Linked DNA regions of Danio rerio. The protein of the gene in region 1 purifies or fractionates together with the protein of each later gene. This does not show direct contact. Links are inferred from orthologs where the notes say so. Each region holds a gene or a part of one and is shown on either strand. Other genes may lie near its edges.

Region 1 (8,216 bases):
CTCCACATTGACATCCGATCCGTCCAGCAGCAGGACTCTGCATGTGATGGCGTCTTTGCTGTTGCCCGCTGCGGGGATGTGCACTACGGCTCCCCCGGTCACTACGGTCGGCGCGTGAATCACCTGCTGCTGGTGCGCCTGGAGCACTGCGTTTCCGCCTCTAACGTTACCGGTCCCGTCTACCTCGCTCGGCGGCCGAGCGTTTCTTTTTGACCGACGGCTAAACGTCCTGCGCAGAAAGCCCATCATCTTCCCCCGCGAGACAGCGCTTTAATTAATCAGGGAAAACGGCACCGATACCGGACCGCTCAAGAAGAAGGCATCCAGCTGTTTCCCAGGCTTTCCACGACGACGAAAGGCGGCGTCTACCGGACTCAGCCGTGCAATGCAGAGGGAAGAAGTCGGCGACCTGTCACGAGCTCCGTTTCCTCGTGTCGTACGGGCGACAAAACAAGAGCACACCTGCCAGAAGCCACGGGAAGATGAGGTACTCCGGTCCTCCCGCTCATTTAACCTCGGATTCGGCCAAAAAGTGATCGCGCTTTAATTAAACTTCTCCTTTCGCTCACAGAAGTCCAGGCTCAGCTGACTGATGTCGCGTTAGTTGCTCTCTGTTATTGACCGAAACTGATGTACCTCTCAGGTAAGTCAACCAGAGGAACTGGCCAGGCAACCTGTTCTGCGCAAGCGTTAAATCTCAGGGCAACACTCAAAACTTTTTTTTTCCCGTTTTCGGGTCGGTGTGTGCGAGGCAGCGCAACCTGCTGGTAAGCCAAACAGTGACCGGCGTCAGGTTACCTTCACTCGAGCCACCATCACTGAATACCCCAGCAACCAGCACAAATCAAGCAGCCTTAATACAATTGCGTCAAGTCTGCTGCGAGGAAACAATGTGCGCCAGTCGTCAGCATTTCACGCACGCTCATTTCAGCTCCCTCCCCTCCTCCAAAAGTCATCACCATGAATAAGAGAACAGGCACAACGTGATAAGAATTGCACATTTTATTTATTTATTTATTAACAGAGGTGAATTGAATTATTCTAGTTGTAATTTGACTGCACATAGGTCAGTCTCACAAAGTGTTCAGGTCACAATTTAGCTTTTTTTAAGTAAACAAAACAACAAATGTTTACATTTGTTCTGATGTAAATAAGGCTTATTCTATCAAATATTGATCTATAAATTGGTATCATGTTGCCCAAAAAATAATATTGTCACCAATTGTCATTTTATGCTGTGAATGACAACATTATTTTTTACAAACGACAGCCGTTTTCCCCCCACAAACTATACATGGCAAATCCAGAGAAACTAAGAATGTCCGAGAACACAAACATACATATAGAATATATTATATTAAAATATATATTTCTTCCGATAAATTTGAAGTTTAATGAGCTTATTGTAATCACCACAACTGTTTGTACCGCATGTGCTTTAAGACAGTTAAGCTCACTGTACCTCACCCCAGTTCCAATTATAAAACACAAAAACTAATTCTTATGACTGTAATATGACAAATGTATGTACATTTAAATATAATTGTTCGTGTAAGCATTTATGTAATTATGTAATTGCAAGAACATTACTGTAATACAGTGGTAAATAATACCTATACAAATACAATAGCCAAGGAGTTAATACAGTAATGAAAATGATAAGGGAGGGGTGGTAAATATGCACAATTGATCAGCAAATAATGTACTAATTTAATAAAATAAAATAAAATCACACTTGAAATTTTCTAAATAGATTGCATTTTATTTGACATTTTTATTTCCTTGTGTTTTTAGGATGAAATGTGACCTGAACATGTCTTGACAGATTTTGTGAGAATCACCTAAATATAGCACTGTGTTTGTGTGTGGGACAGAGCAAGAGAGAGTGTGCTGTAGGGTCCTATAAGCTTCTACGTGTCAAAGTGCTTCATGTTCTTCCTTGATCCGCACAGCTGTCAGGAGAGCCACAGCAAGAGAAGAGATTGCCCATCCGTCTTTTTCAAGGCACACCCTCTACTTCCTGCCTCGTTTTCATCCAGTCTTTACTGACAGCTGGATCACAGCGGCCGAGCTTCTTCCTTCACTTCTGTGTCCTCAAACACTCCTCTACCGTCCCCGTTATCAACTGTTAGGTTTGACTTTCTCTCTGTACACCCTCAGAATGGCCTCACACACAAAGGTGAACTGACACTGCAAAACAAACATGCACACAGGATAAGCAATGGCAGGAATCAGCGTAATATATTCAACCTTCCCACCTTTGCATAGAAAGCTATTTCAGACTGGGATTTTACATTCAAACCACCAAGAGTGACCCTTATAAGGGAATAAGGAAAAAGGGATTGTCCCAATGGAGCAAACAAATTGCTTTAAACAGGGGTGTCCAAACTCGATTCTGAAGGGCCAATGTCCTGCCGAGTTTAGCTCCAACTTGCTTCAACACACCTGCCAGGAAGTTTCTATTATATCTAGAAAGAGCTTGATTAGCTGCTTCAGGTGTGTTTTATTAGGGTTGGAGCTAAACTCTCCAGGACACCGGCCCTCCAGGACCGGGTTTGGACACCCCTGGCTTTAAACCTTCATTAATCTGTATGGCATGTATAGCTCTGGGGTCAGGACGTTCTCAGATATCATTCTCCTAAAATATTATGTTATTTATTTAAATACCATATGTTTTTTTAAAGGTAAATGTAGGTTATATGGTGCATTGTTCATTGCAGAACTCCTTTATTAAAAAAAGAAAGAAAAAAATTGTTCTGAAAAGATCAAGTCTCAGCCAGGTAATAAAAAGTAACACAAAAGTAACTCAAAAGTAACGTAATGCATTACTTACCATAACAAGTAACTAATTAACGCAACTAGTTATTTTTTTAAGGGAATAACTCAATGTTGTAATGCATTACTCACAAAAGTACCCTACACTGGTTTTGATAATGTTTTGGATCCTTTTCAGGACTTTGAACATTTCAGGACCGTTGCTGTATATGGAGGATCAGAGAGCTCTCAGATTTCATCTGAAATATCTTAATATATGTTCTGTGGATGAATGAAGGTCTTAGAGAATTGGAACGATGTAAGGGCGTGAAATTAATATTTTTATTTTTGGGTGAACTAACCTTTTAAAGCATCATTTTATTGCACATCTCATAATCCCAAGTCTGAAATAGCAAGTCAACCAGCTACTTTTACCCCAGCTAATATGGAAATACAATATTTTCCATTAAATAGATTGCACCTGACTATAAGCTGCATGGTCAAAACTGCATTGTTAAAAAAATACATATACATAGGTCACATTTTATAATTGAATTCTAATATAATAAATAGATACAAACAAATAAAAAGACACACAACAAATCATTTAGATGTAACTGTAATCAGAACAGAGGTTATTAAACATTTTAAGTAGAATAAAAAAAGAAACTAGTGGCTTTCATTATAAACAACATAAAATAAGTGTTAAGCCTACTGTAAATGAACATATGGTGAAATTGAAACTTCAGACATCTTGGAAATGTGCTATACAAAAAAAAATCTCCTCACTCTCATTCTCAGACATTATCATCAATATATTTTTTTAATATACATTGTCAATAAATAGCGTAATAAACAAGTGTATACTATTTCACAAATATGGCGGTTGAGATGGGCGAATGGGGAACATTGTTTCAATATAATAATAATTCAATATAATAATAGACTGGACATTTTTCTATCAGTCATCATAGATGATCAGTCATTATTTATCTGACAGGGTCAATATGGCAGATAGGCTACTCATTTGCTGGCATTGCTAAAACAGTTTTCAGAGATTTATAAACAATCTAAATTGGACAGAATTATTTTAAATATAATGTATTTATTATAATGAAGGAAATAATAGCAAGTTAATATGTATAGACCATTTTGAGGAATGTAAACAAAAACAATGGTTCCAACGTATTTCCTGTTTTACATGTTTAATTTCTGTAGCTGCCGAGAATCCAAACAGACCCACACATTGATAAATAATGTTATGATAACTGTTTTAACGTTGACATCAACACTGAAATGGTACATTTAATAAATGTTTAACACTACATTAATATTTTACTCCAGCGATTTAATAATATTTCTTTTGCTTAATTTTCTAACAACTTTTTTTTGTTAATTATTTCCTACATTAAATACTGTACTAATTTATAAGTAATATATTGTATTTATATTGTTACAAAGGGTTTTTAAACCATAAGGTACTGGTGTGTGTGTGTGTGTGTGTGTGTGTGTGTGTGTGTGTGTGTGTGTGTGTGTGTGTGTGTGTGTGTATATATATATATATATATATATTATTAACAGTTGCTACACTTTAGTATTAGTAAAAGATAAAGTAGTTTATCAGTTTATAATTATATTATTTTTAATTATTAACTATAGTAATTTATTTTAATGTGACACATTATTGTTTGTTTTTTATATTTACCTACAAAATGATTTTAACCAAGTATGACAACATTAAGATCCTGAAGAAGAGTAATCAGTCATTAACCATATATGGTTTGCCTAGATTTTGTGAGCTAGATTGTGTGTGTGCCTGAAACGTGTGTGTTTGGATATACAGTTGAAGTCAGAATTATGATTATCCCCCCTTTGATTTTTTTTATTTTTTTTAATAATTCCCAAACTATGTTAAACAGACCAAAGAACTTTTCACATTATGTCTGATAATATTTTTTTCTTCTGGAGAAAGTCTTATTTGTTTTTTTTCCGGCTAAAATAAAAGCAGTTTTTCATTTAAAAAAATATATATTTTTGGGACAAAATGATTAGCCCCTTTAAGCTGTATTTACTTTCTTTAGTCTACAGAACAAACCATCATTATACAATAACTTGCCTAGTTACCCTAACCTGCCTAGTTAACCTAATTAACCGACTTAAACCTTTAAATGTCACTTTAAGCTGTATAGAAGTTTCCTAAAAAATATCTAGTCAAATATTATTTACTGTCATCATGACACAGATAAAAGAAATCAGTTATTAGAAAAGAGTTATTAAAACTATTATGTTTAGAAATGCGTTGAAGAAATCTTCTCTCCGCTGAACAGAAATTGGGGGAAAAAATAAACAGGGAGGCTAATAATTCGGGGGGCTAATAATTTTGACTTCAACTGTATCTCGACTGGACACAACCAACTGGCTCTAATAGTTGAATAGGTTTGAGTCAAAATCAGCTGTTGGATGGAAAGACCATCTGTAACTTTTGAAACTTTATATTTTGAGTACGTGATTGTGTGTACGAAGTTGTACCGATGTCTGAACCAGCATGGCCCTCTGTTCTCTCATCAGGGTAATGACCTCTAGGGGATACACTGGCTTTTCCTTCTCCATCAGTGTCATGGCGGTCTCCATGGTGATCAAAACACCCGTCCGGCCGATGCCAGCACTGCAGGAAAAACACATTGGCTCTGTGTAAGACGAGCGCCCGATAACATCTGTCTGCCTGTGTGCTGGAAGTCCCCTCACCTGCAGTGGACCATTAGAGGCACAGACTCCTGCCTCATGCTTCTCACTGACTTGACAAAATCCAGGAAGTCTGAGGAATCTTCTGGTACCCCGTGATCAGGCCAGGCAACATACTGTAAATGAGTGATTGAGCGCTGCTGTCCTGACTGTAGAATGAAAAAACAAATAGAGTGAGAGAAAGGGCGAGGCTGAGTGCAAGAGAATGCTTGAATGAGTTCGCAAGAAAGCAGACAAGTCTAAGCATGCCTGTGCTTTTCCTTATCCAGAAAAAAAATGTATAAGAAATATTTCTTAGATGAAAGCATTGGGGATTTTCAGCGCCTATGTCTATTTATTAAAGGGCACCTATTTTACCCCATTTTCAAGATTCTTTTCAAGTCTTTTGTGTCTCGAGAATTTATCTATAAAGTTTAATCTCAAAACACCCATCAAATTATTTATTAAACCTTTCAGAAAATTGGGATTTTCTACTCTGAACAAAATCTAGCAGTTTTTGCTGCCTGTATATTTAATGCTAGTTCTCCCCACCCACCATTCCCACGTGCCTCTCAAAGTGTGCCTCAATCTCTGCCCTCGACTGAGTCAGATAAACAGCACAGTGACAGACATGAAGAAAGCAGATCTCACGTAATGTTTGTGAGAAATACTACGATAAACACTTTCCCAATGATTATTTGATGTATTTGTTGTGGAGTCAACGATGAGTCACACACACAATGTCATTACAAAGTTCACGCAGACACACACACACACACACACACACACACACACACACACACACACACACACACACACACACACACACACACACACACACACACACACACACAGCGCATGCGTTTAACTGCACTTTTTACACGCAAAAGTCACAGGACACACGTTAATATCCACTGCTAATATCCCTGGTTTCATCTTCATCCTCCTGCCAATGTAGATGTAGAACTGAAGCATCTAATAATAATTTACAATGAAGAAGGGCAGAGGGTTGCTGAATAATTACTGAGAGATTTCAGCTGTTGTCTGGCCTTTCACTGTCTTTCTATACCTTTTTTATTTGTGTCTTCCCTACTTTTTTCCCTGCGTCATTTTATTTTATTATGCATAACTTCAAATGCATAATATTTGAAAAAAATTCAAGTCAACAGCACTTATAGAAAAATGTTTTTTGAGAAAAATGTTTTCCCCACTGTAAATTGTTTTTGCACATATTTTTATGGATGACCTCTACTAATCAAGGAAAATGTTTTACAGACACAATTTTAAATATCCCTATATTTTAATAGTAAAATAAGGCATATTCTGATTACCTATTTACATTACATTTTTAGAATAAATTCAAAATAATTGGTTATAGGAGCACAAAAAATGCATAAATAAATAAATTCATTAATTTAAATCACACATGTTTTTCTATTGGAATTTTCATAAGTAGGCATGCTAAAAACCACTAGATTTTTCTGTTATACCGTTCCTATAGTATATATAAGGGCTTTTAAAATGTTTTTATGTGTTGTAAATAAATTTGTGTTTTTGAAACTAATGAATTATTTTAATAATTTAGCCTGACATTTTCTGAAATATTAAAGTTTCCTAAAGTAAAAAATATTGTGTTCAATGGGGTAAAAAAAAAATTACCCAAACATTAAAAAAAAAAACTTATTTTAGAGCAGTAATCACAATACTGTGATAACGTGAAACCATGGTATTTTTATTATTATTTTTTAAGATTTATTTTTGGCCTTTTTGCCTTTATTAGATAGGACAGTATTGAGACAGGAAGCGAAGTGGGAGAGAGAGAGAGGGGGTAAGGAAATGTCGTCGAGCCGGGATTTGAACTTGCGACGCCCTGACGTGCTATTGCACCATATGTCGACGCGCAAACCACTAGGCTATTGCGCCGACTAAACCGTAGTATTTTTATCCAAGCTTATACCATCCGAAACTATTCCGGCCCATGCCTACTCATAAGTGTATAATCATGTTAATTTTTCCCATTACATTTTCCGATCCCGAGGGTCAAATCAGATCAGCTTTTTATGCATTTTATAAATGAAGCCCATGTCATTCCAGCCTTTCTTCAAAACTACATTTCAGCTCAGAATGATCTAAACGCTGACATTTTAAAATCCCCCCAGTCTATCATTCATGATCTTATAAGTAGGTGAAGTGCAAAGTAATGATCTTTATGTTCTTGAATATATGAGTCACACTCTAAAGGCCAAACTTGAAAAAAAATAAAAATCCTTTATTGTGACAAATCAGCCAGAAAGGAATAATTGGTTCGCAAGCTGTGAGATACAAACATTCACACATTGGCATTTTTCCTGTACCCCCCAATCATCCCGTTCCTTTCTCCTTTTCTTTATTTTCATTTGAGATACACACACACGCGCACCATATATGGACGACGAATGTGTGATGTAACCTCCGTCTGCTGTCCGTGCTCAGATTAACTCCCACCAACAGAGACAACAGATGGGTCTCCGTTTTCCAGCAATGATAGATTGTTTTGTGAGAGTGAGTGTGTATGTGCATGTACATGTATGTGTACGGTCCTGTGCTCCTGGCTACAGCACTACTTGACCTGTTTGCCACATCCACCAGCACATACTGACACTCTCTCACACACAACAAGCTCTCATTTAAAGTAATTCCCTTTCTATTCCATAAATAGACTTACAGAGTGCGAGTAATTAGAAACATTTACCTTAGAAACA
Region 2 (8,216 bases), on another chromosome or scaffold:
CAAAACACAGTCTCTCCCCATAGAAATAAATCCATAAATAACCAGACGAATCCATAAATAAATATAGTTGCAGATGAATTATTGTTCTTACTGCGTATAATATTCCATAATGGAATTCTAATTTGCGCGGCATTTCACATTCCGACGGCGTTCGCTCAGACGTCTTACTGTTAAAACGTTTTCATTTGTTGTCAGTCAGCCTCTCAGTTCTCCGGCTCATTCATATGCAGATGTATGTGAGTTTTGAGTATTTGTCATTAATATATGCTGATGAGGGAGACCTGGGTACTTCCATACTGTCTGTCTGGATTAACAGATTTGTCATTTCATCAGCACCGAGGGAAACGTGGGCTGATCAATAGCTGAGTGCTGCGCTTGGGTTATGAATGGGGCTTTTAGGAGCATGTTGAATTTTTTATGCGTGTGATCTAAGCGACTGATCTCTCGACAGGATGACAACTGGGGTGAAACCACCACGGCGGTCACTGGAACATCAGACCACAGCTTGTCTCAAGAGGACCTGGCAGGCTTTGGGAAGGACACGGAGGGTCCAGTTGAGAAATTAAACTGTATACGCTTCCTTCCGTTGGCCCTGACCCTCCTCTTGGGTCTGCTGGTCCTGGTCACCCCTCTGTCCTTCCTGATTTTGCCACAGTTAATGTGGCCGGAGCGCCTGCAGACTTGCGGTACTGCATGTGAAGGCCTGTTTCTCTCACTGGCCTTCAAGCTCCTCATCCTGCTGCTGGCCGGCTGGGCTCTGTTTATGCGGCCGACAAGAGCTTCTCTGCCCAGGATAGCAGTGTTTCGTGCCCTGCTGGGTTTACTGACACTCCTCCTGCTGCTGTCCTATTGGCTGTTTTTTGGAGTGCGCATATTGGACTCACAGGTAAGGGCACATGTCTGAAAATAAAAAAAGTGGCAAGAGAAACATGTTCTTGATGAGATCTGCTAAATTGTAGATGTGCAAATTGTCTTTTATTAGAGTAGATACTCTAACATACACATGTGATTATTATTCTTTGTGATGCTGCACTTAAATTACACATCTAACAGTATAATTTACAAGAAGTTAAGAATATATATGTAATATGATGCTTACATCAGCATTCAAGGTTTAGGAGTTTTTGAAGTTCTTCTTATTAGTAGTAGAAACTTTTTTTATCTTCCATGAATTTTTCTTAAATTTGACATTTGAACGTGTAGGATTCAGATTTTTGATTATAAAAGTGCATGAGAGTTTAACTGCATTGAAGAATTTGAAATATTTCTGTAGAAACAAATGTAATAATACTATGTCCCGATCAGATTTTTTTGCCCTCAAGTCTGAGTCATTTGATTTTGAGTATCTACTAATACCAAAACCCGATCCGATACTTCTATAATCCATAAAAAGAATAAAGAAGAGAGAAGGAACAGATCCATGATGTTCTATATTTTTTATGTCTAATTTACCTTATTTTAACATTCAACACTTCTATTTACAAACACAGCACTTCTGTGAGGTAGATTAAACATTTAAGTAATAAATAACATCAGTTCTACTTTGCCGGCATTTAACCAATAGCGTCTCTGCAACAAAGTGATGTCATGCCGGATGCGTTGCTGTTTCTGTGTGAAGTCATGAAAGAGGTCTAGCTCTGTGCCAACGCATAACTATAGATGTGTTAAAAAATAATGTACATATATATTCGAGTCCTGATCGGGAGGTAACATCCAATTCCAAGCGAGTATGAAACCATGTGATTGGGTCTGATTTCCAATCATGTAATTGAATCTGGACATCCCTAAAATGAAAGGACTTTATATTTAGTGCATTGAACTATGTTGGCCTACTTACAGTACATTTAATATAATCTTTTAACACAGTACATTCACATTAATGTATTTCACATTGTATTAATATTGAAAAATAATTTCCTGCATCTAAATCAGTATTTAATTTCTGTAGTTTCAACTATAATTACACCTACCCTAAACCTAAGCTCTTCACCCAATAAGCAGTACAATACACTACAAAGTGGGACTATACTATATATATCCTGAAAATGAAGATAAAACAGCATCTATTTTCTTTGAAGAACACCACTGAACCCAGTGCAGGTTTTTTTGATCCCCTTGGTGTATTGTTGCACTGTGTTTGATTGACAGGATGATAACTACCAAGGCATAGTGCAGTTTGCAGTATCACTGGTGGATGCTCTGCTGTTCATCCATTACCTGGCAGTGGTTCTGCTGGAGATCCGACATCTGCAGCCCTGCTTCTCTCTATGTGTCGTTCGCTCCACTGATGGAGAAACTCACCACTATAACATGGGACAACTCAGGTACCAGCTGATATTTATAAACAAACACTAATGCAAGAGTTCACACTTAGATATTGCTTGATAATAATAGCAGGTTTGGCATGCTGTCCTGGAAGAGAACCCAACCAGAGCTCTTGCCTGGTCAAAGATAAGGGAGTAAGGTGATACAGGTTATTTATTAAGTTTGGAATAATCTGATTGGTTTATTAATGAGTGCGGATGAGAGACCAGCCACGATCAATCATGTCACATGCTCCTCTCATGATTAGGTTGTGAAACTAACTTAAAAACATATGATATATGCTGTTTAAATGTTTTATAGTTCTGTATATTATAAGTTCCAATTAAACTCAATTCACTCTAGAGTACCAAAAAAGTTCCAAAAATTTTCTACTTCTGATTCTGTGAACTGACATATTCAAGAAACTTGATACAAATAAACACCTTTAACAAATAAACAAGCATTTGCAGTTCCTTATTGAAATCCAAGAAGTGTTGCATACTTTTTATTTTTGATAATGTTTATTAAACCAACTAAATCCCAGATTTACCAACAGTTTGCCTAATTTTGGTACAAAAATGCTTCTGTCAGCAATTATTAAAGACAGAAAAAGTGATGTGAAGTGTTCTTATAGAACAATTAGTTGCAGGAATTTACAAAAACTACAAGAGGAGAGTATGAACCCTTTTCACATTTCCAGGTTTCTCAGTAGTAGAAGGCATCATGGTTGGGTAAACTTAAAGCGCAGTAAATGGGAGAGTACAACAAATATTTTTTACAGCCCTGTTTGCTGTAATAATAAAAGAAAACTTCATGATGGTGTTAATAACACTTTCAAAAAAATAAAAAAAAATAGTGTGAGACTGATGACGGCAGCCAGAGGAGAGAATAATGTCAAATTAATCTCAGCCCCATAGACGCTAACACCTCGCATACTGTAAGCGGTAGTTCGTTTTTTAAGTTTTGTGAAACGGGTGGCAAGGTTATTTGCTAAGGTCTATATACTGGCATTTGTGACATTTAATGCATATAAAGCATGTCTTAACCCTTTTTCTTGACATGGCTGCTGGAAGGAGGCAGAGAAGTAAAAGTTTTTAAGTCTTAAATTAGTGTTACATTTTATTAAAAAGCAATAACAGGTCTTTTGAACTCTTGTCAGATTATTTTTGGGATTATAGAAATATATTCTGTGTCTGGCTTCTTCAATTTGCCAAATTGTCAGTAGAAACAACTGATTAACTTCACACTCCCATCAGCACTTTTAGGATATTGCAGACTCATGTTAATTTGCTCTGTTTAGTACTTCTGTCTTTATGTGCAGCCGTGGAAGAAAAAAAGTGTGTAGTTATGTATTTATAAGTAGGGGGTTGAGTAATTATATCTTTCAGATTTCTTTTTTTCTTTTCAGAAAATTATAAGGATGCTTTGATCGATCGGCCAGAGATCAGTATCGGCCGATAATCACTTTTTATATAATCGGTAGTCTCTAATCTGGCCGATCACATGAACCGATCGCAAGTGTTCGTTTACAGATAGAGTAAAGCTGCTTTTGACCATGACATGTCCACACTAAATGGTTATAAGAGATGTGTTGAAAGGATTATATGCAACATCCTTCATTTATTATCTTAGGTAAGTTGAGATCTCAACATCAGGATCATACTTAGAGGGAAAATGTGCTTTAAAAAATATTTAGGTTATATAAAGCCTAAAGCATCAGAATCTGTATTCGGTATCAGCCGATCACGATGACAAAGAATTGTTACATGGCAAAAATGCTAAATCATCTAACAACATTTTAAAAAATATTTTTTTACGAATTTAAATTCAGAAGAAGTGTCATCATCAGCAGAAATAAAACAATAAAACAATAACACAGCTACAGCATAAATTAAAAAAACTTTTTTTGTGGTAATTTTTTTTTTCCCAGGGATAGTTTTGCCTCTAATTGGGCTGAGATATTGTCTACATACATAAACTGTGTATGTGTGTGTGTGCTGTTTAATGTATTAATAATGAGTTGAGTTTGGGCCAAGGGAAAATGGTCCATTAATCACTCCATTACAGACACTCCCTACTTTGCCCTGCGTTGCTTCCCCTCTCCCTTCCTTTCTCCTGCCCGACGCTTTCCTTTGTTCCTGCTTTCATTGTTTCATTGGCTGAACATTTCTGATTCAGTGCTGCTGCAGAGTCAAGCAACAACACACACACACATATGTCAGAGGGAAATCTGTTAGTATCTGATGTCCGTTTAATGAAATGCATGATGGGATTGTGTTTGAATAGACAACCAAACCCCTATTATCAGTGAACATTACAAGGTTTCTCTCACCCTCTCTCTCTCTCTCTCTCTCTCTCTCTCTCTCTCTCTCTCTCTCTCTCTCTCTCTCTCTCTTTTTTTTTTCTGTGTAGTATTCAGCGGGCAGCCCTGGTAATTCTTGAGCACTATTATAAGGATTTCACAGTTCACAACCCTGCCCTACTGACAGCTGCTAAGTCCAGGGCGGCTAAACATCTGGCCGGGCTGAAAGTCTATAATGTGGATGGTGAGTTTAATCTGAGTCTGACTGTTTTCTGACCTTATGCTTGATTTCTTAAACAAGACTTTGTGATTGAGTTGATTAAAGTTGTCTATATGAAAGGTGTTCACTTTGATAAATATGGTGGTCTTATATTAAATATTTCTCCTAGATTTAAGAATCAATGTCTCCTACTTAAAGATTATTGTCCAAAGAATTACCTTTTAAGCTTCTGAAGAAAAGAAAACACGACAAAATCAATGTCTCAACCTGCCAATCAAAAGAATGAGGATTAAGAATGAACGATTGTTGTCTGGTTCTTTCAGCATTACAGTAAATTATCTGAGCAATGCAATGTACGTTAAATGTAAAATATTAGAGCTTTATATTTGATAAACCAAACTGACATAAGATTTAACGCTTATTTTTTAAAGGGCACCTATTTTACCCCTTTTAACAGATGTAAGATAAGCCTTTGGTGTCTCTAGAATGTCGTCACCTTATAATTATAAGATTCTATCTGACATTTTTGTCAAAATTGAGTTATTGATATATTCTTGTGACAAATTATTGACAAATTATTTTCATTATGGAAAGTTGTTTACATTTTAAGACTTTTTATTTAAAAATCAATTGTTACACACATACTGTTTGCTATGGAATGCAAAAACTTTGAAGCTCAATACTTCAAAATCGTTCCAAACGCGCATAGAACCTTATAATTCTAAGGTGATGATGTGTCTGTAAAGTTTCAGCTCAAAATACCCATCAGATAATTTGTTATAGCCTCCAGAATCTGCCCATTTTGGTGTCTTGACTACAGTGTGGCTGTAATTATAGCCTGTGGGTTTAAATGCAAATGAACTGCTTCTCCCTGCCCACCACTGCCACGTGCATGTCTGCTTTTGTATGTGTTACGTTAGATAAACAGTCATCAGTGATTGTCCGCCACCGATGAAGCTGAAATACAGCTCATTTGTCAAAAACATCTAGTCAGTTTATTTCATGTATTTTTGGTGGCATTAATTCAAGCCTTTCTGAAACGAAATTCCATTTGCAGTACACACACACACACACACACACACACACACACACACACACACACACACACACACACACACATATGCGTTTACTGACACTGTGCTGCCATAATGATTACAGCTGTTAAGAATTACATAGTGATTTTACTTTATTACAAACATGCTTTTTTTGAGACGTTTTAAACTTATAAAACTTATAAAAATCACAGAGAGTTGAAACATATTTTAATCCCAGTTTATCTGCAAAATAATTATTCTGTGGACGTGTGTACATGTTTTTTTAGAAACATGCAACCTGTCAATCATTTCTTTGTGAGGTAAAAATTGCACTCCCACCTCACGTTGCGGTGGATCTCAAAATCACTGGTTTTTGGTTCTATTTTAACGTCAGGAAATTTTAAAAAAAGAGACTTACTGTGTTTATATGACTCCAATATGACTCACTAAACATACACACAGTTCTGTCCAAAGAGCTTCCAAAAGTTGATTTTCATCATAGGTGCCCTTTAAATTCATAATTAATAATTTTAAAAGCAAATAAGTGGGTTTATTTATAGTGTGTTCTGTAGGTTTACTTATGGATGTTAATTGTTTTTGAGGTGACATTAACAGGGGTTAAAATGTCAAGATAAACAAGATAAAAAGACATTTAAAATGGTATTGCACCATTTATACTGAATCAATTATCATTCATGATTATAGTGTTGTGTGAACAATTATTTTATTTTAAAAAGTGTCAGTTTGCTGCATTGCTATTTAGATCATCACTTTAATTATGACATTTCTGACTGTGTATTATATGAATTAGCCACTAAACTGACAAAACATAAAATACTTACGTTTTCTCGTGAGATCAGGCTGTTATACTGAATTACTCACCCTTTAATTGATCAAAACCTACATGATTTTTTCTTTTTCCTCTGTTAAATACAAAAGAAGATATTTAGAAAAATGCTGGTTCCTGGCACCCATTAACTTCCATGGTTTTTTTTCTACTATGGAAGAATATCTTCTTTTGTGTTTAACAGAAGAAACTCATAAAGGATTAAAACCACATGAGGTAGAGTAAATGATGAGGTAATTTTCATTTTTGGGAGAACTAGCCCAATCAGCATATAAAATTTTGTTCAGTATTATTTAGATTAGATTAGATTCAACTTTATTGTCATTACACATGTACAAGTACAATGCAACGAAATGCAGTTTAGGTCTAACCAGCAGTGCAATAGCAGCATTTACTGTCCTTACAATTACTCAAAAGGTATTACAACACATTATGATGTTGTTTATAATAATACATTAATGCTATTTTATTTCATTTAAAATACAGACTTTTTAGAAAGTGTTAACAATTAATTTTTTTGATTTGTTAAATGATTACCCTTGATCTTTATCACTGTATACTGTATCAACAGTGTATTCTTATTTGTACAGTTTTCACTTGCTTGAGCAAACTTTATTCTAAGGATCAGGAAGGATTAACAAAGGATTTTAAAAAAAGCAACATCTAAGAAGGTGGCGCGGTAGTGCAGTGGGTAGTGATGTCACCTCACAGCAAGAAGGTCGCTGGTTCGAGCCTCAGCTGGACCAGTTGACATTTCTGTGTGGAGTTTGCATGTTCTCCCAGTGCTCCAGTTTCGCCCACAGACACGTGCTATAGGTGAATTGGGTAAGCTAAATTATCCATGGTTTATGTGTGTGAATGAGAGTGCATGGGAATTTCCCAGTGATGGGTTGCAGCTGGAAGGCCATCTGCTGCGTAAAACATAAATGAATGAATGAACATCTGAGAAATAATATCATCCTAGACTTGTTAAATGGAGGTAGACCTAAAGTTATAGTTTACCACATTTTTTTTTATTTGGTCAGCATATCCTACTTTACATATTTTTCCAAATTATTTCAGTTTCATGAATGAAGATCTGTTGAAGAATATACTGAAGAAAAACCATCATTGACTTCAATTCTATTTCTTAATATGGAAGTCAATGGCTTCTTTTTATCCCGACATTATTCAGAATATCTTGTTTTATGTTCAACAGAAAAAAGAAACTCATAAAAGTTTAGAACCACTTGATTGTAAGTAAATGGGTTAATTTTTTGGGTGAACTATCCCTTTAACAAAACACCCATTCACACTTTTAATGCAGCAACTCTGCCATGTCAATCCGTTTCCACCATCAATTAATACCCCATCTGTGTTTCTCTCTGCAGAGTTTAAAGCCAAACTGAAAAGCTATCTTTTCGATTGTAAGTTCGGACGATGAAATGCATTCAAAAACCCTTTCACTGAAACACTGAGCTGTGAAATGCTCCACGTGTCATGAGAGTTATTTGCTTGTGCATGCAATCA
Region 3 (8,216 bases), on another chromosome or scaffold:
CTATGTATTTTACACCAGATTAGGTGTATGGCCTATAGTAAACACCCATACTAGTCCAGCGATCTAGAGATGATATTGGCACACAAAGTTATATTTTCTTCTTTTTTGCCACACAAATGTGCTGCAGCTTCAACTGATTACAGTTAAACCACCAAAGTCACTTTGACAATGTTTTAGGTTCCTTTTCTGGTCTTTTTCCAATGATGTATGTAGGTCTCAGGGGATTGGAACAATATAAGGGTGAGTCATTAATAACATTTTTTTTTATTTCTGGGTAAACCAGTCTTTTAATTGTAAAAATGAAGCATTTTGAAGTGTGTCATTTGAAGAACATGTAAGTGATAAATGCCAATAACTTGTGCATGCCTTAATGTGCTTACATTTTTGAAAAAATACATTACACTGCACAAATATCTTGGTTATCTCAAATAATTTAAATAACTGAATGGTTATCTCAAATAGTTATTAACGACAATCAAATGATTATTCAATCAATGTGACAGGTCATGTACCTCCTTCCTGTAGAGGACAGACGAACAAAGAGTTTGTTGGTGATGGGAATGACTTTCTGAATGAACACCTGTTGGTCATCTCTTTCTCCAAATGGGCCTGAATGCAGACATGAAGTTATATTTCACTGGTTTGCTCACAACAGCAGTGCAGTTTACAGAATAATGAAGAATAGCAGGTGGTTCTACCTAATTGTTAGTTCCTCCTAAGAAAGAAAACTACTCCCTCACCGATGTCATTTCCAGAGGAATAGCTGTTGTGGCTTTCTGTTTCCTCCAACGAGATGATCTTAAATGAGGCCAGCGGAGTCGATCCTGGCTGAGTGGAGATCATGCCTCTGAACCGCGTCACCGTCCATGTGCGTACATGGTTATTGTCAGCACACACTTCAACAAAACAAGACCGATATTACCCAGTGGAGGTCAGTGAAATTTTAAAAAAATTTTCTTGTTGCTGTACCATGCTATACTTGGACAAGATTTTGGAGAATCCTAGCACCCTACATGCTGTATATTGCCTAATAAGATCACAAATATAGACCTGTATGTATAGATTTGTATATAAAATACAAACAGCATTGTATGTAAAAAGAAGGATCTTAAAATTAACTCTGAATTTTATAGGAAGCCATTGCAATGAGACAAAGACAAGGGAGAAGTCAATGATTCATTTGAATTATTTAGCCTGACATGTTTACTGCTCCAACATATTTTAAATGTTTCCCAAAATAAAATATATTGTGTACAAAGGGGAAAATGTTTTATTTTTTTACCCAGACATTTAAAAATAATATATTTTAGGGCAGTAATCTCTTTTTTTTTTTTTTTTTTTGCAAAAATACCTCAGCACTATAGCCCAGCCTTATGCAGTTTGAGTGCTGGAATCTACACACTTCAAAAATCAAAAAACTTTATTGATGTAAGGGACTTGTCAGAGCTCGACAGAAACTTTATCAGTGCATGGATCAGTGAATCATGGTTGAAATTACGAGAGTTTTCCAAGATAAATAACAAAATGGGTGGGTGGCTGGAATGGGTCTGAAATACGGGAGGCTCAGGGGAAAAACAGGAGTGTTGGCAGGTATGCTTACACACACATTATGCACTCTGACTACTTCAATATAGTTGATAAGCCATGCTGGGCATTTCACTCTGTCTCTCACTGAATGCTGAAGACCAATCGCAATAGGCTGTCATCGGTCCAATCAGAGCAGATTAGCTTCGCGCTAAGGAGGGGTTTAGGAACAAATGAGTCGCTGAACGGTTCATATGGGAGTTGTTGTGACAGGTAAAAATAAATTCATATTATTAGACAATGACAACCCTTTTTAATGTATAATAGGAGCTCTTAAAAAATCTAGCAGCAGCATTCTAAACGATCTCTAACCGAGAAAGTGTTGACTGGGGAAGACCAATACTCATACAGTTAAAGTAGTCTAGCCAAGAGGAAATTCAAGTATGTATAACACTTTCTATAATTATATTGTCAGGATTACCTGAAACCAAATGCTTTTCAGAGAGCATGATCTTAGTGACGGGACTACGGTGAACAGTGAAGGTCTGGAAGAGCTGTGGACCTGACCCAACCGTTTCTGGATGCTGTACAATGACACGCACAGCCCCTGAACTCGTCCCGTACGCGATCTCAATCCAGTTCCCACTCACACCTGCAAACACAGAGATCAGTGACTGGACAGACTCACCACTACAGTGATCATACAGTTAGTGTAATTAACTATCACTGGACGCACTGGTTTTAGGAGTCAGGTAGACACTGAGGGCCGTGATGGCATCATTTGAAGGGTCGTGATATAGCTCTGTCACCAGCAAATCATTGTCCTTCATTCTCAGCGGAAACTTCTGCATGTCTAAAAGTGGAGAAAAAATAGGTGTTTAAAATGATGATATTTAAAACAGGAATTATTAGTCGTTTACAGTTTTATGGAATGTTTTTTTACAATAATGATATGGAGAAATATCAGAATCTGATTTATTGCCAAGTGTGCTTTACACACTCGGGGAATTTTTTAAATTTTGTAAAAATAAATATGAGAAAAGACGACAAACTTAAGACAGAGATGCAATTATTAGACAGAAGAGCTCTAGATAAAACAAGTGTATGTACACCTTTGTTATAAATATACAAGTTATAAGGTGCTGTGTATGCATATGAGAAAGTATTGCATTATATATTGTTATAAGGTGCTGTGTACAAGTCCGTATGAGAAAGTATTGCTCATGTTTATTGCAGAATATGAGTATTTAATTTTTCATGAGGTGAATGGCCTGAGAAAAGAATTTTCTTCTTTACTATATAGTTATATATATATAGATAAACATATAGATATTGCTGGCAGCTAACTCTCTGCAACTCTCACTTGGTCACCCACTGAAGCTAAGCAGGACTGCGCCCAGTCAGTACCTGGATGGGAGACCACATGGGAAAGCTAGGTTGCTGCCGGAAGTGGTGTTAGTGAGGCCATTGGGGGCGCCCAACCTGCGGTCTGTGTGGGTCCTAATGCCCCAGTATAGTGATGGGGACGCTATACTGCTCAGTGAGCGCCGTCTTTCGGATGAGACGTAAAACTGAGGTCCTGACTCTCTGTGGTCATTAAAAATCCCAGAATGTCTTTGAAAAAAGAATAGAGGTTTCACCCCAGCATCCTGGCCAAATCTGCCCACTGGTCTCTGTCCATCATGTCCTCCTAACCCTCCCCATATCATAATTGGCTTCATCACTCTGTCTCTTCTCCACCAATCAGCTGGTGTGTGGTGTGTGGTGTGTGGTGTGCGGTCTGGCGCAAAATGGCTGCTGTCACGTCATCCAGGTAGATGCTGCACACTGGCCCAGAAAAGCGCTATATAAATGTAGGGAATTATTATTATTATTATATAGTCATAGATATAGTTATAAATGTATTGTGTAACAGATGGATCTCAAGAAAGGCGACATGGTGGCTCAGTGGTTAGCACTGTCACCTCATAGCAAGAAGGTCACTGGTTTGAGTCCTGGCTTGATCAGTTGACATTTCTGTGTGGAGTTTACATGTTCTCCGCGTGTCGCGTGTGTTTCCTCCGGGTGCTCCAGTTTCCCCCACAGTCCAAAGACATGCGCTATGGGTGAGGTGAGTGTGTATGGATGTTTCCCAGTACTGGGTTGCAGATGAAGGCCATGATATTTGATGGCCATTAAATATATGCGTCATATACAAATATATTCACTGCAATCTAGGAGAAGTTAAGCAGCTTACCAATATAGTAAATGGAGCCGTTGTTACAGCCCAGCAAGAGGAAAGAGCCAGCAGTGTCACAGCTTGTGATGGGCACCACATCCTGTACCTGTACAAAGAAATACATTGTAAACAACACAATCAAATGTGAACGTGATAATCTGTTCATTTGTGATGATGTATGGAATACTGTTTCTGGGTCCAAGCCTCTGCTCGCCTGAATTAAGAATCTCAATAGTTCTTTATAATCCCTTTTTTGTTGCATCACATCACAAGTAATTAAGCAGGTCGCACACCAGAAGCGCCACTCGGCGCCGCGACACGGCGCGTACATGACAGTTTAAAGTATGACACACCAGACGCGCACATTCGAATGATATTTAACATGAAACTAATCAGATGGCGCTCTGTGGCGCGGCTGAAAAATGAACTGCGTCCTGAGCCATCGCCGGGCGCCGCCGACTTGCGGCGCCGGTGTGTGTATCCTGATAGAAACCTATGTTTAGAATTCTAAAATACATGGTGTTGCGTGGCGCTGCGCGGCGCGCCGCTGAGTGGCGCTTCTGGTGTGCGACCCGCTTTAGGCTGCATTTGCACTGCAGATCTTGATGGTCAATTCCAATTTTGTGACTGTATCCGATATTTTTGATGGCCTGCTTACATCATCTTTTAAAAGTGACTCATATCTGATCGTCTGCATTTACACTGCACAAGGCAAAGGTGAAATGATCAGGACAAAAAAAAAAAAGAGCAGGCGCTGACTAACAGCTGATAATTAAAGAGTGCTCTTTTCTCTATTCCTGTATGTAATCTGTTCACAGCTTTTTACAAGCTGTTTTACTATGATTTAGGACAGAAAGGTTCTCATTTGTCAATCTTCTTTTGACATATAGGCTTTTTTAAACCTTTAGGTATCTTGATGTCCATGGCGTGATTTATGCACATGATGTAGCTGTAACGAAGGGTCTGACACAGAGGGATCCATTTGCAGTATATTTATTAAACAGAGTTTAATAACAATAAGCAAACAGATGTTAAGCGTGTGCGAACTCACATCACACACAGTTGTAGTTAGTCGAAGGGCTGGTGGCAGGCAAACACAAGGTGAGTATTCAGGCATGGGTCAAAGGCAGGCGGCGAGGATCAAAGTTGATGTACAGGCTAGAGTTCAGGGCAGGCGGCAGGCAATACAAGGTCGAGATACAGTCCGGGGTTGTCAGCGGGAAAGCAGGCAAGGATCAGAAACGCTCAGTAGTGTTAGCCGGGGCAGAACAAGACTTCGCACTGAAGCAGCGTGTGTGTGCTGCTTATATGTGTGAGGTGAGTGATTAAGAAATGCGCTGCAGGTGTATGTGCCAATCAGTCAGTGGGAATGACGTAATGTTAAAAGTCAGGTGATGATGACCTCTGCTGGGCAGCGAGGGCAATGACTGGGACCGAGTCGGTGACAGTAGCTATGCACTAGTTTTATATTAGTTTAAATTGGTTACGTGGCGGACACTGCGCTCTCTCGCTCTTGTTAACATGCTTAAATACCTGTGCTTTATGACAATATAAAAGCTGTTTAAGTTCTCGTGTCAGAGATTTAAGGTTTGGGACTCTGCTGAAGTCTGTTCTGAAATTAAATTGTCAGACTTGACGTCATTCGCTACAGTTTTTAATGACGCGCGACTTGCATTGGTGAAAATCCAATCAACCTGCTAACACTGCAGACACGAGAACACAGATCAGATTCATATCGGATAAATTTCCACATATGAACAAGGCCTGAAACTGATTTGAGTAAATCAGAATCCATGTGATTTGTTCCTGCTTACACGTACATGGGCCATATCCGATCTGTGCCACATGGGAGAAAAAATCGGAATTGAGTCACTTGAACAGTGCAGTGTAAATGCCGCCTAAATATTTTAACAACTTTCAAAAGATCAATCACACAATCAAAGATCATCTGAGATTAAACTAGGATTTAAACATTATGATCATGATCCCTTAAACCTATGGTCTCAAACTCAATTTCTGGAGGGCCGCAGCTCTGCATAATTTAGTATAGTTCACACCTGCTTAACAGTCTCAAGTAGTCTTGAACACCTTGATTAGTTGGATCAGCTGTGTTTGATTAGGGTTGTAGCAAAACTGTGCAGAGCTGCGGCCCTCCTGGAATGCAGTTTGAGACCTGTGATTGAAACAGTATTACAGCACACTGTACATTTGTTGTTCATTTTTGATAAGAGAGTTTAGACCCAGTAACAGCTTTAACAAGTAATAGATATACTTTAAATCTGAATTGTTTACCTGCCAGTGCTGTGTGACGGCGTTCCAAACTCCTACCTTCCCCGTGTGACTGGTGGCAACTAGCTGACTCCCGATGAAAAATAGAGAATCAACAGGTACACCAAGACTGAACACTCCTTCATAAAGACAGAGAAACATTGACTTAAACAAATGGTAATTGGGGATTTCATTTCTGTTCTGTCCACTAGTGTTGTCAAAATGATTTTTCAATAGTAAACAGATTATTCTTAGTGACAGCAGCAACTTGATGTCATTAGCATTACTCAGCAACAAAATACAAAAGTACCGTTAGACCTACGTTAAGAATGTTAAGTAATGTGGTATATCTGTGTTGACTGTTCATGTGTGTGTAGGAACCCCAAGCACAAACATGCATTTGAGCCAGAGATTATAACAAAATAGTATCCAATCAGAAAGCAAGAAGACAGAAGGAGAAAGAATAACAAACACAGTCATGGCTTAGCAAAAAGCAAAATGGCGAAAGTGAAAGCTTGGCGATATGAGGCATTTAAGTCAAATCAACTTGTTGCTTTCAAGGCAACTGGTTTACTCACTTTAAACTAATAGAAAGTAACTAATTGCTTTTTACTTGTTGTTGTTACTTCTCCAATACTGAAATTGGAACAGCTTCAAAACAAAACAAATAATTTATATGAGTTTATTTATAGTGCCTATAGAAAATCATCATATCCTGGGAAAATCTCTTTATCTTCGGGATAAAGTTGTAGAAAGGCACAGATTAGGAAAAGAGGCTACAAAACAATTTAGGCTAGGAAAGTTGAAAGAGCATGATTTGATTTCAGGCTGTTTGACAAATAAAGTCACTATTTCAAAGTGGTGTAATGATTTTCTACAGGCACTCTATTCTTTTATTAATATTTTTTTCTGGATGGGCCAGGAAACATTGTGGCAGGACGAGTGAAAATCTGAACCACTGGCTTGACTGGAGTAAGAGTAAAAAACACTTTATAGTTTGCACATGAAGAAATTAAGACATATCTATATATATTATATATATATATATATATATATATATATATATATATATATATATATATATATACATATACATACAGTTGAAGTCAGAATTTTTTCCCCCCACTTTTTTTAAATATTTCCCAAATTATGTTTAACAGAGCAAAGACATTTTCACAGTATGTCTGATAATATTTTTTCTTGTGGAGAAAGTCATATTTGTGTTATTCAGGCTAGAATAAAAGCAGGTATTCATCTTTTAAACACCATTTTAAGGACAAAATTATTCGCCCCTTTAAGCTAAATTTATTTTTGATAGTCTACAGAACAAACCATCGTTATATAATAACTTGCCTAATTACCCTAACCTGCCTAGTTAACCTAATTAACCTAGTTAAGCCTTTAAATGTCAAATATATATATATAAATATATATATATATATATATATATATATATATATATATATATATATATATATATATATTGTAATTTTGATGAATGCTTTGGCAATATTTCCCTATAGTATCGAAAATGGTATCGAGTATATATATTGTAGAATTCCAGCACTGTAACATTGCTGTCCACCCACCTATTTCACTTCCATTCCCTCCATCCTGGATGCTCCACAATATTATTCTGTTCTCTGATGATGCCGCCACCATCTTGTCTTTATCGCCATGTGGTCCGCCAACAACTTTAGCATTGAGAGCCACACGCTCAATGGCCCATTCCAGGTAAGGGCTGGAAAACACCTGCTGCCAGCCTGAGGATTCCTTTATCCTACAGTAAACAACCAATATTATTGTTTTATTATTTTTATTATCACCAAAATTATTGTTATATTATCAAAATCACGTGACATGTAGCTTTACCTGTAGCAAATGACAAAATGTGCATAAGCAGCTACAATCCAGTTATGATGTCCAGCGACAATCAGCACCTTCCTAGGGTCCACTGGCGATCCTGTTATAGCATTAAACACACAGAAAAACACAGTGCGTTTTAAAGAGCCCATATTATGGGTTTTTGAAAATTCCCCTCCATGTAGTGTGTAACACAACTCTAAGTGAAGTGAAGTATCCAGCTAAGGCTTAAATCTGTAAGAATACAGTGTTTAAAACGGTTGATTCGTCTATAAAAGAGTCGACTCATAGTGCTTCAAACGAGTCGCCTTGATACCGAATCATTAGGTGTTTCGCCATGACG

Evidence for each region.
Region 2: the proteins of ptpn3 (region 1) and vangl1 purify together in Homo sapiens (affinity purification with mass spectrometry; 4 studies listed by BioGRID and IntAct, with this or other methods). This does not show direct contact. The link is inferred for Danio rerio from reciprocal best matches to the Homo sapiens genes PTPN3 and VANGL1.
Region 3: the proteins of ptpn3 (region 1) and kctd3 purify together in Homo sapiens (affinity purification with mass spectrometry; 4 studies listed by BioGRID and IntAct, with this or other methods). This does not show direct contact. The link is inferred for Danio rerio from reciprocal best matches to the Homo sapiens genes PTPN3 and KCTD3.

What each region holds. Positions count from the first base shown.
Region 1 is NC_133191.1:29,716,467-29,724,682, reverse strand, and holds the end of ptpn3 (tyrosine-protein phosphatase non-receptor type 3), read right to left. Parts: intron 5,646-8,216; coding exon 5,500-5,645; intron 5,420-5,499; coding exon 5,284-5,419; intron 2,191-5,283; coding exon 2,122-2,190; 3' UTR 1,742-2,121; downstream 1-1,741. Other genes in the region: epb41l4b (band 4.1-like protein 4B), read right to left, coding at 1-249.
Region 2 is NC_133184.1:34,727,738-34,735,953, forward strand, and holds part of vangl1 (vang-like protein 1), read left to right. Parts: intron 1-451; coding exon 452-886; intron 887-2,148; coding exon 2,149-2,324; intron 2,325-4,716; coding exon 4,717-4,850; intron 4,851-8,077; coding exon 8,078-8,113; intron 8,114-8,216.
Region 3 is NC_133192.1:30,814,947-30,823,162, reverse strand, and holds part of kctd3 (BTB/POZ domain-containing protein KCTD3), read right to left. Parts: intron 7,974-8,216; coding exon 7,883-7,973; intron 7,791-7,882; coding exon 7,600-7,790; intron 6,151-7,599; coding exon 6,035-6,150; intron 3,849-6,034; coding exon 3,761-3,848; intron 2,378-3,760; coding exon 2,261-2,377; intron 2,177-2,260; coding exon 2,006-2,176; intron 897-2,005; coding exon 741-896; intron 610-740; coding exon 513-609; exon of another isoform or gene 1-512. UniProt on the Homo sapiens protein: Accessory subunit of potassium/sodium hyperpolarization-activated cyclic nucleotide-gated channel 3 (HCN3) up-regulating its cell-surface expression and current density without affecting its voltage dependence and kinetics.